2 linked regions of the Astyanax mexicanus genome follow. The protein of the gene in region 1 purifies or fractionates together with the protein of each later gene. This does not show direct contact. Links are inferred from orthologs where the notes say so. Each region holds a gene or a part of one and is shown on either strand. Other genes may lie near its edges.

What was found. Proteins that work in one complex are often made in the same cells at the same time.
Region 2: the proteins of bifunctional polynucleotide phosphatase/kinase (region 1) and xrcc4 purify together in Homo sapiens (co-immunoprecipitation; 5 studies listed by BioGRID and IntAct, counting the BioPlex papers as one, with this or other methods). This does not show direct contact. The link is inferred for Astyanax mexicanus from reciprocal best matches to the Homo sapiens genes PNKP and XRCC4.

What each region holds. Positions count from the first base shown.
Region 1 is NC_064425.1:32,501,301-32,508,680, reverse strand, and holds the start of bifunctional polynucleotide phosphatase/kinase, read right to left. Parts: upstream 3,390-7,380; 5' UTR 3,240-3,389; exon of another isoform or gene 3,213-3,239; intron 3,007-3,212; 5' UTR 2,953-3,006; coding exon 2,832-2,952; intron 1-2,831. UniProt on the Homo sapiens protein: Plays a key role in the repair of DNA damage, functioning as part of both the non-homologous end-joining (NHEJ) and base excision repair (BER) pathways.
Region 2 is NC_064427.1:67,710-75,779, reverse strand, and holds the start of xrcc4 (DNA repair protein XRCC4), read right to left. Parts: upstream 3,008-8,070; 5' UTR 2,947-3,007; intron 1-2,946. Other genes in the region: tmem167a (protein kish-A), read left to right, coding at 3,008-3,082, 3,491-3,600, 4,879-4,913, 5,017-5,087.

The DNA.
Region 1 (7,380 bases):
TCATTTTCTCCCCAATTTACACGGCCAGTTACCCAACCCACTCACTAGGACTCCCCCCATCACAAGTAATGCCCCAACACACTAGGAGGGTGCCTCCTCCGATACATGTGAAGTCAGCCACCGCTTCTTTTCGAGCTGCTGCTGATGCAGCATCGCCTAGCAATGCAGCATTGGGAGGAAAGCGCAGCGGCTCGACTCTGGTACATCAGCTCACAGACGCCCTGTGCTGCAGACATCACCCCGACTATGATGTGGGGAGAAAGCGCCATCTACCCACCCGGAGGGAGCAGGGCCAATTTTGCTCCCTCTCTGAGCGCCGGCAGCTTGATGGCAAAGCTGCATGAGCGGGGGATCAAACCTGCGACCTCCCGCCCCTAGTGGCAGCGCTTTAGACCGCTGGACCACTCGGTGCCACTCTCCATTTTCTTAAGATCATCCTTGAATTAAAGGAGCTTTGATGTAATATTCAGTTTCATCATGGGCATTCATTTACAGAAAAGCCAACTTTATTATTCTCTGTCCACGACATAATTTTCTTGTGGCCATGACTTAATTATCTCATTTACATGCCTTAATTATCTCTTTCCCAACCATTAGTATGTTGTTCCCTAGCCTTAATAAGTCGTAGCCACACATTAGGATGTTGTTCCCACTCCTTAAAAAGTTGTGCCCTTGCCTTTTTTTTTTTTTACATTATGTCACCATAATTTCCACCGATTAGGATTTCGTTCCAACACCGTAATGAGTCGTGGCCATGACTTAATTTTCTCATTCACACACTTTAATTATCTAATTTCTACCCATTAGGATCTTGTTCCCACTCCTTCATAAGTCGTGGACATGCATTAGTACCTTGTTCCCATGCCTTAATAAGTTGTGGCCACAATTTAATTTTCTCATTCCCACCAATTAGAAACTCATTCCTTTGCCTTAATTATCTCATTCCCACTCTTTAGTATCTCATTCCTATGCCTTCATAAGTCATGGCCACAACTTAATTATCTCAGTCACAAACATTAATTATCTCATTCCCACCCATTAGGATCTCGTTCCCACAGCCTAATAAGACATTGCCATGCATTAGTATCTAGTTCCCATGCCTTAATAAGTCATGGCCACAACTTAATTATCTCATTCACACACCTTACTTATCTCATTGCCACCCAGTAGAATCTCATTCCCACGCATCTTGTTCCCATGCCTACATTTTTTTCGTGGCTACGACTTAATTATCTTATTCCCACCCATTAGAGTGTTGTCCCACGCCTTAATAAGTTTCGGGAACGCATTAGCATTTTGTTCCCACAGGTTAGTAAGCTGTGGCCACAACTTAATTATCTTATTCCCACCCGTTAGGATGTCATTCCCACACCTTAATAAGTTGTTGCCACACATTAGTATCTCGTTCCAATGCCTTCATAAGCTGTGTCCAAGCCTTCATTTTCTCATTTCCGCCCATTAGGATCTCGTTCTCACGCCTAAATAAGTGGTGGCCATGTCTTAGTTTTCTCATTCACACGCCTTAATTATTTCATTCCCACCTGTTAGTATCTTGTTCCCATGTCTTAATAAGTGGTGGCCATGCTATATTTTTTTGTTAAACATGATGTCACCTTAGGGCATACCTGTCAAGTTTTGGACTTAAAAATAAGGGATTTTTTCCGCCGCCCCAACAGCCCAAACGAGGGAAAAAAAAAAAAAAATATATATATATATATATATATTATATATATATATATATATATATATATATATATATATATATATATATATATATTTATTTATTTATTTATTTAATAGATTTAAAATTGAAATTGAAGGGTGCACAAATTTACAAAAAGGACATGGATCAGATATATTCCATAAGTAAATAATAGTCCTAAGGGGCCTACACAATTAATAATCTTTCATTAATACTTCTTTCTATTGTTCAGTCCACTCCTGATCAGTTCAGTTAATTTCAGCCCTCTCCACATTTTCTCTCTCTCCAGCTCAACCATCTCTTCCACCCCTTCTAAATAATACATTACATTACATTATAATACATTACCACAATACTTGAGATTTAAACAAATTCTAACAAACCCTAAAACTAGCCCTGAACTAATAGAGTTTGGAAATGATAGTTATTGGCTGATCAGGCACATCAGGGCAGGGCATTATATATATATATATATATATATATATATATATATATATATATATATATATATATATATATATATATATATATATATATATTTTTTTTTTTTTTTTTTTTTTTTTTTTTTTTTTTCTCAAACCCTGAATATCTATCTAGCTAATTCTAAAGTTAAGCTGTATTTTATTAAACACACAGTGGGTTTAATTTATGTTTTGATTCAGAGAAGAGTCTTTTTAACCAGCTATCAGAAACAATCTCATCACAGTTTACATGGTTAATTACCTTTCTTTTAGAAAAATCTCCGTATATCCAGATTAGTTTTAACGACAGCTGCTCCGACTAGCTGCCTGAACTCACAGCGAGGGGAGGGGCGGGGCTTCCCGCACACTAAACTGCGCTCCGCAAAACCAGCTAGCTGATTGGCTGTTTCTCCTGAAAGGCGGGACTTTCTCCTTGAACCGGCACCACGATTGGTTAAGAGACACACAGCGGTCAGTGCATTGTCGCCTGTGGCCTATATATATTTTTTATTTAGTATAATACGGGAAATTTACGGGAAAATACTAAAACGGGAGGACGGCGGGAAAGAGGAATAAAATACGGTAGTTTCCCGGCCAAAACGGGAGACTTGACAGGTATGCCTTAGGGTCTCTGTATAATACAGAAGAGGCTGTAAGGGTGTATTTACCCTGATGTCTGGAACACTGTTTATCCTTCACTCCAGACTCAGGACCCCGACCCAGGATCAGGGCGCGTCCATCACACAGCTCCACCCGGGCTCCTGAGGGACTCAGTAGTGCACACTTCATTCCGAGGAGTGCGGTCGTTTACTTATCTGTTCCCTACGCTCTACGACCAGCAACCTGTAGTTAAATAAAAAGGATTTAATACACTTATTCCTCACTTATCATTTATTTTACGGCTTTAAATCACATCAGAATTATACATATTAATATTAATATAATCCTACATCACAGAACATTTAAATACACTTAGCATATCTTAGCTAACTAACACTAAACTAAACAGAAACAGCTCTCCACCACCTTCAAGCAGCTAACATACTAACCAGCCAAACGCGAAACAGCGCACTGACCAGATTACGACTTTAAAACGCCTTCAAGACTTTAAAAACGACAGAAAACAAGGATAATAGTTAGTCGGCTAACAAACTATCTAAACAGCTACACAACGCGTCCCTTTCAACAGCCCACTCTGTCCCAATCCAGCCCTCGCTCACTTCCCATACGCACTTCAAAGCGCAGGAAAAAACACAGAAAGGAAATAGGGGGGTTACTTTCTTTACAACACATCTAAAATCTCAGTTTATCACCCGTCCTGATAAATATTATTGTTTTAAATACTTTTTTGACCTTTTAAACGCAAGATAAAGTAGAACAAACAATAATACAGTGCGTTATATTGATTTATTAACGTTAACATTAAAAAAGAACAAAAGAGACATCCCTTTAAAATAATAATAAATAGATTTTCCCAAGTGGAAGTCAAGCCACAGCTGTTTTAATGGCAAGACTACCTATTTCCGGTACCGCCCGCTATGCCGTATTATTATAATCAGATAATGCAACTGCGCACCGCTAGAGAGAGCCCGCGAGAAAGTCCTTCATAAATAGAGAAAAATAGAGCTAAACGGCAAAAACTTTATTTAAAAACATAACTAACTATTTACCCTGTATATTAATTGTATTTTGGAAAGTACAATGAAGTATTTTACTAAAAAAGTAAAGAAATCTAGTCTATATTGTTAAATGTCTCTACAGTAAACGGGTTTTATTCAGTAAAGGCGCTAGCATTGCTGCTAGTCAGTGTTGATTGGTTGGTGAGTTCCTACTGAAGGTATTGCTCCTAAGTCTCCTAAAAAAAACTTTAGCATGTCGTTATAACGAGAAACTCTCGTTTTTATGAGCTTTAATATAGTTTAAACGACAAAGTATGTCGTAACAACATAGTATGTTGTAATTATAAAACAAACATAGCATTAGTATGAGAAACTAACTCGTTGTTATGAGTTACTGTGTCGTATTTATAAAATAAATGTCATAATTACGAGAAAATATCTTGTTTTTTGAGATATTGTAATAATAAAATAAACATCCCCTAATTTAGAGAAACTACCTATTTTTAAAAATCACTGTCGTAATTATAAAATACATATCCCATTATTATGAAAAAGTATCTTGTTTTTAAGTAATGTTGTTAAAACAACATTGTATGTCGTAATTATAAAATAAACATCTTGTAATTATAAGAAATCTGTTTTTTGTAAGTTACTATGTCGTACTTCAGAAAAAAAAGGGCTTCTTGTTATGACACGCTAAAGCTTTTTTTTTTTTTTTTATCATACTTGGCACCAATATTATTGCGCAATACTCTTAAACCACTGCATTGAGTCTGTTAATATGGCCCAGTGCTGTGTTCCCTGCTGTATTAATAGATCCGAGTCTAAAAAGACGACCCAACTGTCTCTGAACTGCGTGGGTGCTAACTATGAGATAGCTAACGCTAGCAACCACAGAGAAAAAAGACCCCTTTTGGATATGATTGATATATGCTAGCTATGGATTTAGTACAGTGTCTCTTACTGTATACAGATATTTAGTGCTTCTTTTGCCTTAGATGTTACTCAGTCAAAGTAATTATATCTTTAGCTAGCCTAGCCTGTGGCGCTAACGCTAACTAACTAAGTTAGTTAGCTCGCTTGCTAATGGCAAAGCCAAACTGCCTTTTTCCGATATCCTTGATATATGCTGTGGGTTTATTGCGATACTTTTTTGCTATAAAGTCACATTTTTGTGTTCTGTTCTTTGTTGCCCAACTACAGCAAAGATAAACTCTGATTTTGCTCAGTTGCTTCATATGAACTTATTAATTCTGGAGCGCCCTCTGGAGGCTGAATAAACAGGGTAAACGGTCTGGAGTGGGTGCTCTTCTCTATATAGACTCTCTGTTGAACGAAGGGGAGGAGGAGAGGGGTCTGGACTAAAATTTCCTACAGATTAATGATCTATCAGTTCCTCCTGCAGGCAGTTAAGAGAAAATCATTCTGGTAAAATTACAGCACAGCATAAATATATCACGATTTAACGTCGGAATTAGCTGGATAAACCTGTAATATTAAGAAGTACAGTTCATTCTACAGCCAGTAGGACAGCACCTCAAATCAAACCATGTAAGTAAAGCGAAAGTGAATACATCATTCATTTCTGGGTTTGAGTTCCAATCGGACTTTGAAACTTTTTGGAAATTAAATTATATTTATATTTTTTATAATACTTTATTACGAAAGGGACATGTACAAATTGTAGCATTTATTTGTAGCATATATTTGAACATACACAGGATCTCCACCCTCTTATGAACATATGCATAACTGTTTGAAAGATTTATGGTTTAAAAAGATTTACAAAACATGAATTATCTAAGAGTCAACATGTCCCAACGTGAAGTATTTTTTTATTTTTATTTTAAACAGATATTTTATGAATTGTGTGTCTGAATTCTCACCAGCAAATGATTTCACTTTTTTACTGTAGAGTAATTTACCACAGCATGACTAAAACTCGAATGTGAGAAATCCCAGAGCATAAAAAGATAGATATTGAGTTAAAGTCTGGAATTTAAAATAAGTTAATTTTTACTTGAAAATTGTTTCAGCATTACAGATATATAAAAGGAACATATATCAATAGATACTTTAGAAAAGAGTAAAAGTACATCAACAGGTCAACACAATGTATAATTGTATCTCTATAGATCAACACATTCACAACCCAGAGAGAGAGAGAGAGAGAGAGAGTGCAAATGACATGTAAATCAATAGGATCCAATGCAACTGGATAGTATCTTTTAATTTGGCTACATCAACAGAGTCCAGTTAACAGTTTGTTGTCCAGCTCCAGTGACGTGATCAGCTCCAGCCTGTCTGGGCAGCACGTTCTTATCATGGTGTCTGTGAGAAGATGAAACAGAAGAAAAAAAAAAGGTGTATGGGAAGATCTTAACTAGAATTCATTATGGTCCAGTTAGAGGAAATTTCGAAAGGCCAAGGTCTGGACCGATTGTTAACTTGTGTTATAATTAGGTGCTATATCCTGTAAGGTTGTTTGAAATGAATGATAAAAAAATATATAATAATAATAATAATAATAATAATAATAATAATAATAATAATAATAATAATAAATATAGCCGCAAGCGGCAATCATCGGGTTCAAGCACCAACTTGCACAATGGTGCCTACTGGAGCATTGAATGGTGATGTGTAAGAAGGTCTAATATGATTGGAGATGCCCTGTCACATTTAGAAATTATCAAGTTTTTCACCTGTTATTAATGTTGAGCAGAGGCCTTTCAACCTGATCAGTGCTTAAATTCACATGTAAATCTAGTGAACTTTGTAGGATATTCATTAAGTGAGTTAGAACTAGTCAAAAGGTGTCTACATGTTATTGGTATTGATCAGGTGGCTTCAACCAGAATGTTCACAAAGTGGTATTCAGATTGACCTTTGAACCTTTGCAGAACAAGCTGAAATGTTTGACCAAACAAGTTTAAATTAACACAAAGGAGTGAATGTTCTGATATGACATGTAATTACGAAGTTATTATAAATCTAGTTCTGAATTAAATGGCGCTTCATCAAGCACCAACTAGCACAATGGTGCCTACTAGAGCATAGGATGGTGATGTGTAAGAAGGTCTAACACAATTGGAGACATTCTGTCACATTTAGAAATGATCAAAAGTCTTTCACCTGTTATTAATGTTGAGAAGAGGCACAAAGGAGTGAATGTTCTGATATGACATGTAATGTCAAGTTATTCTTAATCTAGTTCTGTATTAAATGGCGCTTCATCAGAGTGATATTGTACAGAGGTCTTTAACATTGTGAGATTACAGCAAATACTGCAGAGTTACAGCAATTTAGGTTAGAAATTCCAAGGACGCACAGATTGCTTGATGCCTGGAGAGTATTGTATGTGAAATTTTCACAAATGTTTTTAATGAACATTTACCTAGAGACTCTACAGTGTGCAGCAAGACTGAAATGGAGGTGATAGGCCAAATATCCAGAGAGTAGTTTCAATATAGCTATTTTCAAACAATTAGCAATTATGAATGAACAAAGCACTTTTTAAACATAGTTGTATTGAGAAATTTGTCAGAGCCACTGTACTAAATATGGCAAAAACAATTAGATGTCAAAATAGTACAGC
Region 2 (8,070 bases), on another chromosome or scaffold:
CAGTTAGACACCTTTCTGGATACCATATATTATCACAGTAAAGAAGGAGTCAATCTGGCAGTAAAAAATCTAAATACAATATTCAAAAACACATCAGAAAAGGCTAAATTAAAAATTATTAATACATCAAAACCTAAGCTTAAAAAAGAAGATAACTGGTTTGACCAGGAGTGCCAAAACATACGTAAGGAACTAAGGAAATTATCAAATCAAAAGCACCGTGACCCAAAAAACACCCACATACGCCTTCTTTACTGTGAGACATTAAAACAGTATAAACGTACACTCAGAACCAAAAAAGCCCAGCACACTCACAAACAACTGACACTAATTGAGGAGTCAATCAAAACCAATCAATTTTGGGAAAACTGGAACAACCTTAAAAAAAGAGACCGTGAAGTATTGGCTATACAAAATGGAGATATTTGGACGAACCACTTCCAGACACTTTTCAGAAAAATAGAGACAAATTCAAATCCACAGCAAAATAATATAAACAAAAAGCTTAAAAAACTAGAATTAGCTGTTAAAGACAATCAAAACCCATTAGACTTCTCAATTACTGCGCAGGAACTTAAAGAAAAGATTAACAAACTAAAACCAAAGAAAGCAAGTGGGCCAGACGGCATACTAAATGAAATGATAAAAAGTTCAAGTTCTAAATTACAGCTGGCAATTGTGAAATTATTTAACCTGGTTCTGAGTGTAGGTTACTTCCCTGAAATCTGGAACTATGGACTTATAACACCAATCTTTAAAAATGGAGATAAATTCGACCCCAATAATTACAGAGGCATCTGTGTGAACAGTAATCTGGGGAAGTTGATGTGCAGCATCTTAAATTCTAGACTTTTAAACTTCCTTATGGAGCACAATGTCTTGAGTAGAAGTCAGATTGGATTTTTACCAAATTTCCGCACCACTGATCATATTTACACCCTACACACCCTAATTGATAAATATGTTACCCAAAATAAATCCAAAATTTTTGCATGTTTTATTGACTTTAAAAAAGCATTTGATTCAATCTGGCACCAAGGATTATTATACACTCTGCTAGAGAGCGGTGTAGGGGGTAAAACATATGATCTAATTAAATCAATGTACACTGGAAACAGATGCGGAATAAAAATTGGCAGCAAACAAACAAACTCCATCTCTCAGGAGCGCGGAGTGAGACAGGGCTGCTGCTTGAGTCCAACATTATTCAATATTTATATTAACCAATTGGCAAAAATATTAGAGAAGTCTGCAGCCCCGGGTCTCACTCTGCACGACTCAGAGATCAAATTCCTGCTCTACGCAGACGACCTGGTCCTGCTGTCCCCCACAGAACAGGGTCTACAGCAGAACCTGGACCTGCTGGAGCAGTACTGCCAGACCTGGGCCCTGGCAGTAAACCTAAAAAAGACAAATATTTTAGTATTTCAAAAAAGATCCAGATCTCAGGGGCAAAAGCACATATTTAAATTAGGTACAAATAATATTGAATATTCAAAAAACTACAATTATTTAGGTATTACAATCAGTTCATCTGGAAACTTTACATTGGCAGTGAATGAACTGAAAGGAAAAGCACGCAGAGCTTTCTACGCCATAAAACAACAAATTCCTGTAGAAATTCCAATTAGAATTTGGTTAAAAATATTTGAGTTTGTAATTCAACCTATTGCCCTTTATGGCAGTGAAGTGTGGGGTCCGCTTACAAACCAAGAATTTAGTAAATGGGACAAACATCCAATTGAGACCCTGCATGCAGAATTCTGTAAAATTATTCTGAAGGTTCACAGAAACACCCCAAACAACGCATGCAGGGCAGAATTAGGCCAATTTCCACTGATTTTAAAAATACAAAAAAGGGCAATCAAATTCTGGACACATTTACAACACAGCGACCCCCACTCTTACCATTATAAATCTCTGCAGTACCAAGAGTTGAGCAAAGACACCAGTCCCCTCACTCAGCTGGTCCTGAAGCACAGTTCTACACTCACACACATTAACACACTTACACACACAGCTCTAACACACACTAACACCCCACACACTCAGGACCAGACACCAATCAGATTCAACCAAATTACAAAACAACTCCAAAAAAACTACATCAGCTATTGGGAAACTCAAACTAAATCTCAGAGTAAACTACAGTGTTATTCGGCCCTAAACCGTCAGTACAGAGCAGCGGAATACCTGAGCACCCTGACTGACCCCAAACTGAGGTCCACCCTGACCAGGTACAGACTCAGTGCCCACAGCCTGGCCATAGAGACGGGCAGGCACAAGAAATCCTGGCTGCCCAAAGAGCAGAGAGTGTGCCCACACTGCCCACTGAACAGACCAGAGACAGAGCTGCACTTCCTTACAGAATGTCCCAAATATTCCCAGATTAGAACCCAATTCTACACCAAATTCACCCACAAATTACCTGCATTTAAAAACATCCCCGATCCAGAAAAACTCCCCTACCTGCTGGGGGAACACAGTGAGTGCTGCACTCTGGCAGCGCAGTACGTCCAGGCCTGCCACAGCCTGAGGGACAGTGAGTGACCACAGATACACTGCTGTACAGAACTACAAGCTCTATTACTCTTTATTATAAATCATATGTTTTTTTTTTTTTTTTTTTTTTTTTTTTTTTTTTCTTATAATAATTAATTTAATTGTTTACTTAAACTTGTGTTCAAATTTACCTGTACAGTTATCTTATGTTAAATTTTGTCAGGAATATATATATATACTTGTTAATCACAGCTTTGGCAATACAAATGTGAAAATTTGTCATGCTAATAAAGCAACTTTGAATTTGAATTTGAATTTGAGTAAAGAGAGTGAAAGGAAAGAGAAGGAAAGTGTTAGAGAGTGAGAGTATAAAGAGTGAGAGTATAAAGAGTGAGAGTATAGAGAGTGAGAGTATAAAGAGTGAGAGGAGTGTTAGTGTTTTACCTGTGGGTCAGCAGGGTGTTAGCATTAGCCTCAGCTTGATTTCTCTGTTTACTCTGTGCAGATGAGACGCGCTGTAGTGTCGTCATTTCCTCTGTGTACAGGAAGTGTGAGGTGGCTTACCGGAGCTGTGGAAATGGTGAGAAAACCGAAACATTTCTTTATTTAATCCCGGATTAAATTGATTTACTAAACGGAGCGCTAAAATTAATATCTTCCCGATGGCGCGCGGAGCTTCTCCCAGAACATCCCGCTGCAGAACCGCCGGGAAACACTAACCTTAGCCCATTAGCTTTAGCCCGTTAGCTTTAGCATTAGCTCGTTAGTTCTGATTAATATTAAAGTTTTTCTCTGTAGAATAAATCTGATTCTACATTAGAACCCCGAGTTACATCTACTAAATATTATCATTAATAATCAACAGCCTGTTTAACATTAAACTAAAGTTTATTTCACCTTGAACCTAAACACTGCAATAAAGAGTGTAAGTTATATTGTATACTGCAATTATTAATCTATGTAACTAATGTTTGTCTATTTTTTGCAGTCTGCAATTTTTAATTTCCAGAGTTTACTGACGGTAATTCTGCTGCTGATCTGTACCTGCGCTTATATCCGAGCTTTAGCTCCCAGCCTGCTGGACAAGAATAAAACAGGGTATGTATCTAAAACAAGATCGTGTACTTTTTATTCATCCTAAAAATAAGCGAAATAAAATGATATTTGTCTTTACATATTTATTTATTTAAAAAATGTTGGACATTATAATTGTTGGACAGTCATAATTAAACACTAAAATAAAGTATGTTTTGGTTTAGAATCTTAAATAAAAAAAAAATAAGGCATCAATATATTTAAGAGGTTTGTCAAATGATAGATCCTTGGAAAAAAATAACATAGATATTTTGCAAAGATAGTGTTTTATTTTTGGGAGAAACTTTAGATCTTAATCTGTGCGTTTGTGTAAAGGAGTGTGTTTCAATCCAGATATAAATATATTTCTGCGTTCCGACGGCTATTAGATTATTAAAGCTGGTAATGCTGCTAGAGGTAACAGTAATGTTAAGAAAAAAAAAAAAAGAATATGTATTTTGGGGCGGCTACCACAAAGCTTTAGAATGGTTTTGAAAAATGTTAGTCTGGAGCTGTAATGTCAAAGCTGCATTTACCGGTTTTACCTATTCTGCTGTTTTGCAGTGTTTAAAGAACGGTTCTTCAGACTCTTGTCTCGTTTTTAGACTTGGTTTTCTAGGGAACCCAAAGTTGTTTTTCTGAGATGTTTCTGAAAAAACCTGGGGTACTTTTATAGAGTATGCAGGTAATGTTGGTTGGATGGCAGATGTTTTTTTTTTTGTTGTTGTTGTTCTGGTAAAACTGTGTGTAATGGATGAATCAGAGTTTATTAAATGTTTTGCTGCACTGTATCTGTTCTGATAAAGACTGAGATGTTCCAAATGTTTGTTTGGTTCTGGTGAAACTGGCCGGGTTTATATGGGCTTTATATTCCAGTCGGCTGTAGATATTTCTGGCGAGGTCCGGCGCCTCCGGAGAGGGATGTCTCTCTTCTAACCCTGATCCTGCTCATCTCTGCAGGAAGATGATTTAATGAGAGCTTAATTCTCCTTGGCATTAAGCCAGGAGCTACAGATACAGAGCGGCTGTGTTGAATTCTGTTTCCATAAGAAGTTAACGGTATTTACAGTTCTCAACATTAAAACTAACGGAATGTACTTTTTAATTTACCTTTAATCAGATTTTACTCACCGGAGAAATGTGCTTCCCACTATAAAAACTACTGATGACTGTTAATCATTTGGGTAACTGTTAATAGTGTAATCAATATCTACTAATTAACATAAATAACATTGTAAATAATGATGCGTGTGTAATATTTAATAATACAGTTCTCTTACTCTCTGTTTTCTACCCCAACAGATTTCTAGGAATTTTCTGGAAATGTGCAAGAATAGGTATGTTATTCTGTATGGGTTCCAAACACCTTGAGAATGTGTGTTTGTGTGTGTGAGTGTACAGTGTAGGTCTACATTATTTAATGCATTGTTTTGTTTGCAGGTGAGCGGAAGAGTCCGTACGTGGCGTGCTGCTGTATCATCATGGCGTTCACCATTTTATTCTCGGAATAGCAGAAGTTGAAGAGCGTTGGCTGAGGATGGATGGATCAGAAATGGAGGGATTTAGGAAGAAGACATCTCTGCGGGAGGGGCTGTGTGATGTGTCGGCGTTTGGGCTGGTTCTGTGCGGTGTTTTCTTTGCTGTGTTCTGCAGCGCGGGGGTTCTGTTAAAGGACAGGAACTGCTTTTGAAGTAAAAGTTGTGCATTTTTCACTCTGACTGTTTTGTAAACATGAATTATTGTTATTGTTATTTGTGTCCAAAAGCTCCCATTATCTCAGGCCCAGAACCACGTAATGAAACGTGGTGGGAGAAGCCGTGGTTCAGTCCAGAGCTGCTCGTGAACGAGTTGCACAGAGATCTCTGACCAGTCCATAAATCTCATCCTGCAGCGACTGTGTTTTCAGCTGTGTGAGTTAACGTTCAAGCGGCTCTACTAAATAAAGTCTGACTTTCTCTCGTCCAAGTCTGAACTCAGTTTATTAAACCTCTTGCTTAACCGCTCTCTCTCTCTTTTTTTATACAGTATATTGCCTTAAAAACCTCAACTACTCATCAGTGTCTTTATTTTATATATATATATATATATATATATATATATATATTCATACATACACAGGAGAGTACAGGAGTGCGCTGTGAGTTTTGGGGGTGTGGGGGTTGTTCACCCCCTCTCGTGGTAAATTGGAACCAGCGCTGGGTTATGAATGGAGCTTTGTGTGGGTATTGTGTAATGAAACCCCTGCAGCTTTAATGTTTGTAAAATTGAATAATAAACGCGGGGAGATCTGAGCTGGCAGCGGCTCGGCGCTGATTCTGTGTGGGGTAATTTTCCTTCGCGTGGGCATACATCAGCCCAGCAGTGCCCGAGTGCGAGTGGTAAACTCTGGACAATCAGCAGATCCACTGTTTGAAGATTGCTGTGTTTACGCTTCCAGAGGGGCATCAGGAGGGTCCAGCTAAACCAGATCAAGCTGTGGCTCTACAGAGCTCAAACATTTACTGTTCTGCTCTTTTACAGTCACAACACTAGTGTTCATGTATGTATTATATATGTATATATTTGTGTGTGTGTTCGTGTATAGATGCAAGTATATAAAACTATATCATATATTTTGTCGCATAGAGTTGGATGATCTGAAGGGTTTGAGTCGATATCCAAAGTTTGAGTTCTCAAATTCTTACTGAAGAGACTTTATTATGCTGTTAATGAATTAATTTAATAATGAACTGAGGAATGCTTTATACTGTTTTAGTTTTTTTATTTACTGGGAGATTAAGCTAATATCCAGTTTAACCCAGTATAACAAGCATCTAGAAGTAAATTCTTCACTTTTCAACTAATACATTTCCATGTTTTTTCCAGACCGTACAGTCTTTAAAATATCAGTGCAGACGGGACACGATGGATTTGCCTAAACATTCAATTATTTTTAACACCAAATTAGCTTTTCTTAGACGATAAACTGAAACACTGAGATTTGTAGAGCAATAATTTCCATGACTTTTCCAAAACTTTCTGGGTATTTTTATTTTTCCAAAACTTATCCAGGCCTAGAATTTGCTGTTTTCAAATTCCATGACTTTTCCAGGTTTTTCATGACCGTATGAACTCTGTCTTCAGTTTGTTGGTTTGGTCAGTGGTGGGTTAGTGGTTGGAGCAGAAGCGGGTTGTGGGTTTGATGCCCAGGTTTCTGCACTGTTGTGCTCCAAGAGTGAAATCTTTCAGTTTAGAAACCAAATCAGTGAAATAATCATCAAATTATATTTTTAATGTTTCTGTAAACCAGATAAAATTCTTACTTTTATTTAAATGTTTTGTCTGAATTATGTTTAACTCTCCCAACTTTTAACAATAATACCAAACATAAGCTTGTGACAAAAACTCCCTAAATATCTTGTCTGTTATCCATAACAATAATATAAAACAATATTGGTATACGCAGTGTTACTGGTGCTGATCAGATATTTGAGGTGGGAAATGTAAAAAATTGTGTTTTTGGAGAATCCAGCTCCTCTGTTCTCCTTCTGAACTGGAATGAAGTCTCGTTGGCTTTACTGGGTTCTGATTGGCTCCATATGGTTTTACTTCCCCTGACATCCCTGATCCAAACCTGAGGGGGTATTTTAACAGGCCCAGTATGAAGACCCCCCCAAAATACACTGAGCTGCAGCACAGGGCCAAGGGGGCAACACAGCGGGCACTAACTGATCTGTGTATCTGTGAAAATCTTAATTACTTTGAGAGACAGAGCACAGCAACTATTTATATTAAAACATCTGGGTTATTTGCATTAGTTCAGTAGTTGGGTAAACTGCAGATATTAGGTTTTCGGTAGTTTCCCACAGTGCTCAGTGTATCAGAATTACCAATAACTTTAATACTTTAAAACAATATCGATAGACAATATAGTTCAGTAGACTGGAAATTAACAAACATTTTTGTACAAACTGGTTTATCATAATATCAGAATAATAATAAATAGAGCCGGCGGTTCTGCTGGATCTGACCCGGCGGTTCTGCTGGATCTGAGCCGGTTCACTGGGACGCTGTTTCATCCTCCAGCTCAGTGCCCTCAGATCAATCTTACTAATAATAAAAACAAAAACATTTAAAACATTTTGTCATTTCTGATACACACACCCATCCAAAACAGCCCACTTTACAAACCAGTACCAGTACACCCAGTTTAAAAATCTCTCCCTCTGGGCTGTATGGTGCCCTATTTAATTAATTACTTTTTTTTTTTTAACACACACAAACGCGCACGCGCGCACACACCTCCCCAACAACATCATACTGCTCCATAGTGATGTGGAATACAGCGACTGTGATTGGTCGGCTGAGCCTCATGCCAGATTTTAGTCCCTGGTGAAAAGATGTTCTCAGTCTGGATCTACTGAACTGCGGTCCGGTTCTTCTGCAGAGTGAAACACTAGATGGTTCAGAATTTCAGACCAATCAGAGGAACCAAGTCCAGAGGAATAGAGAACC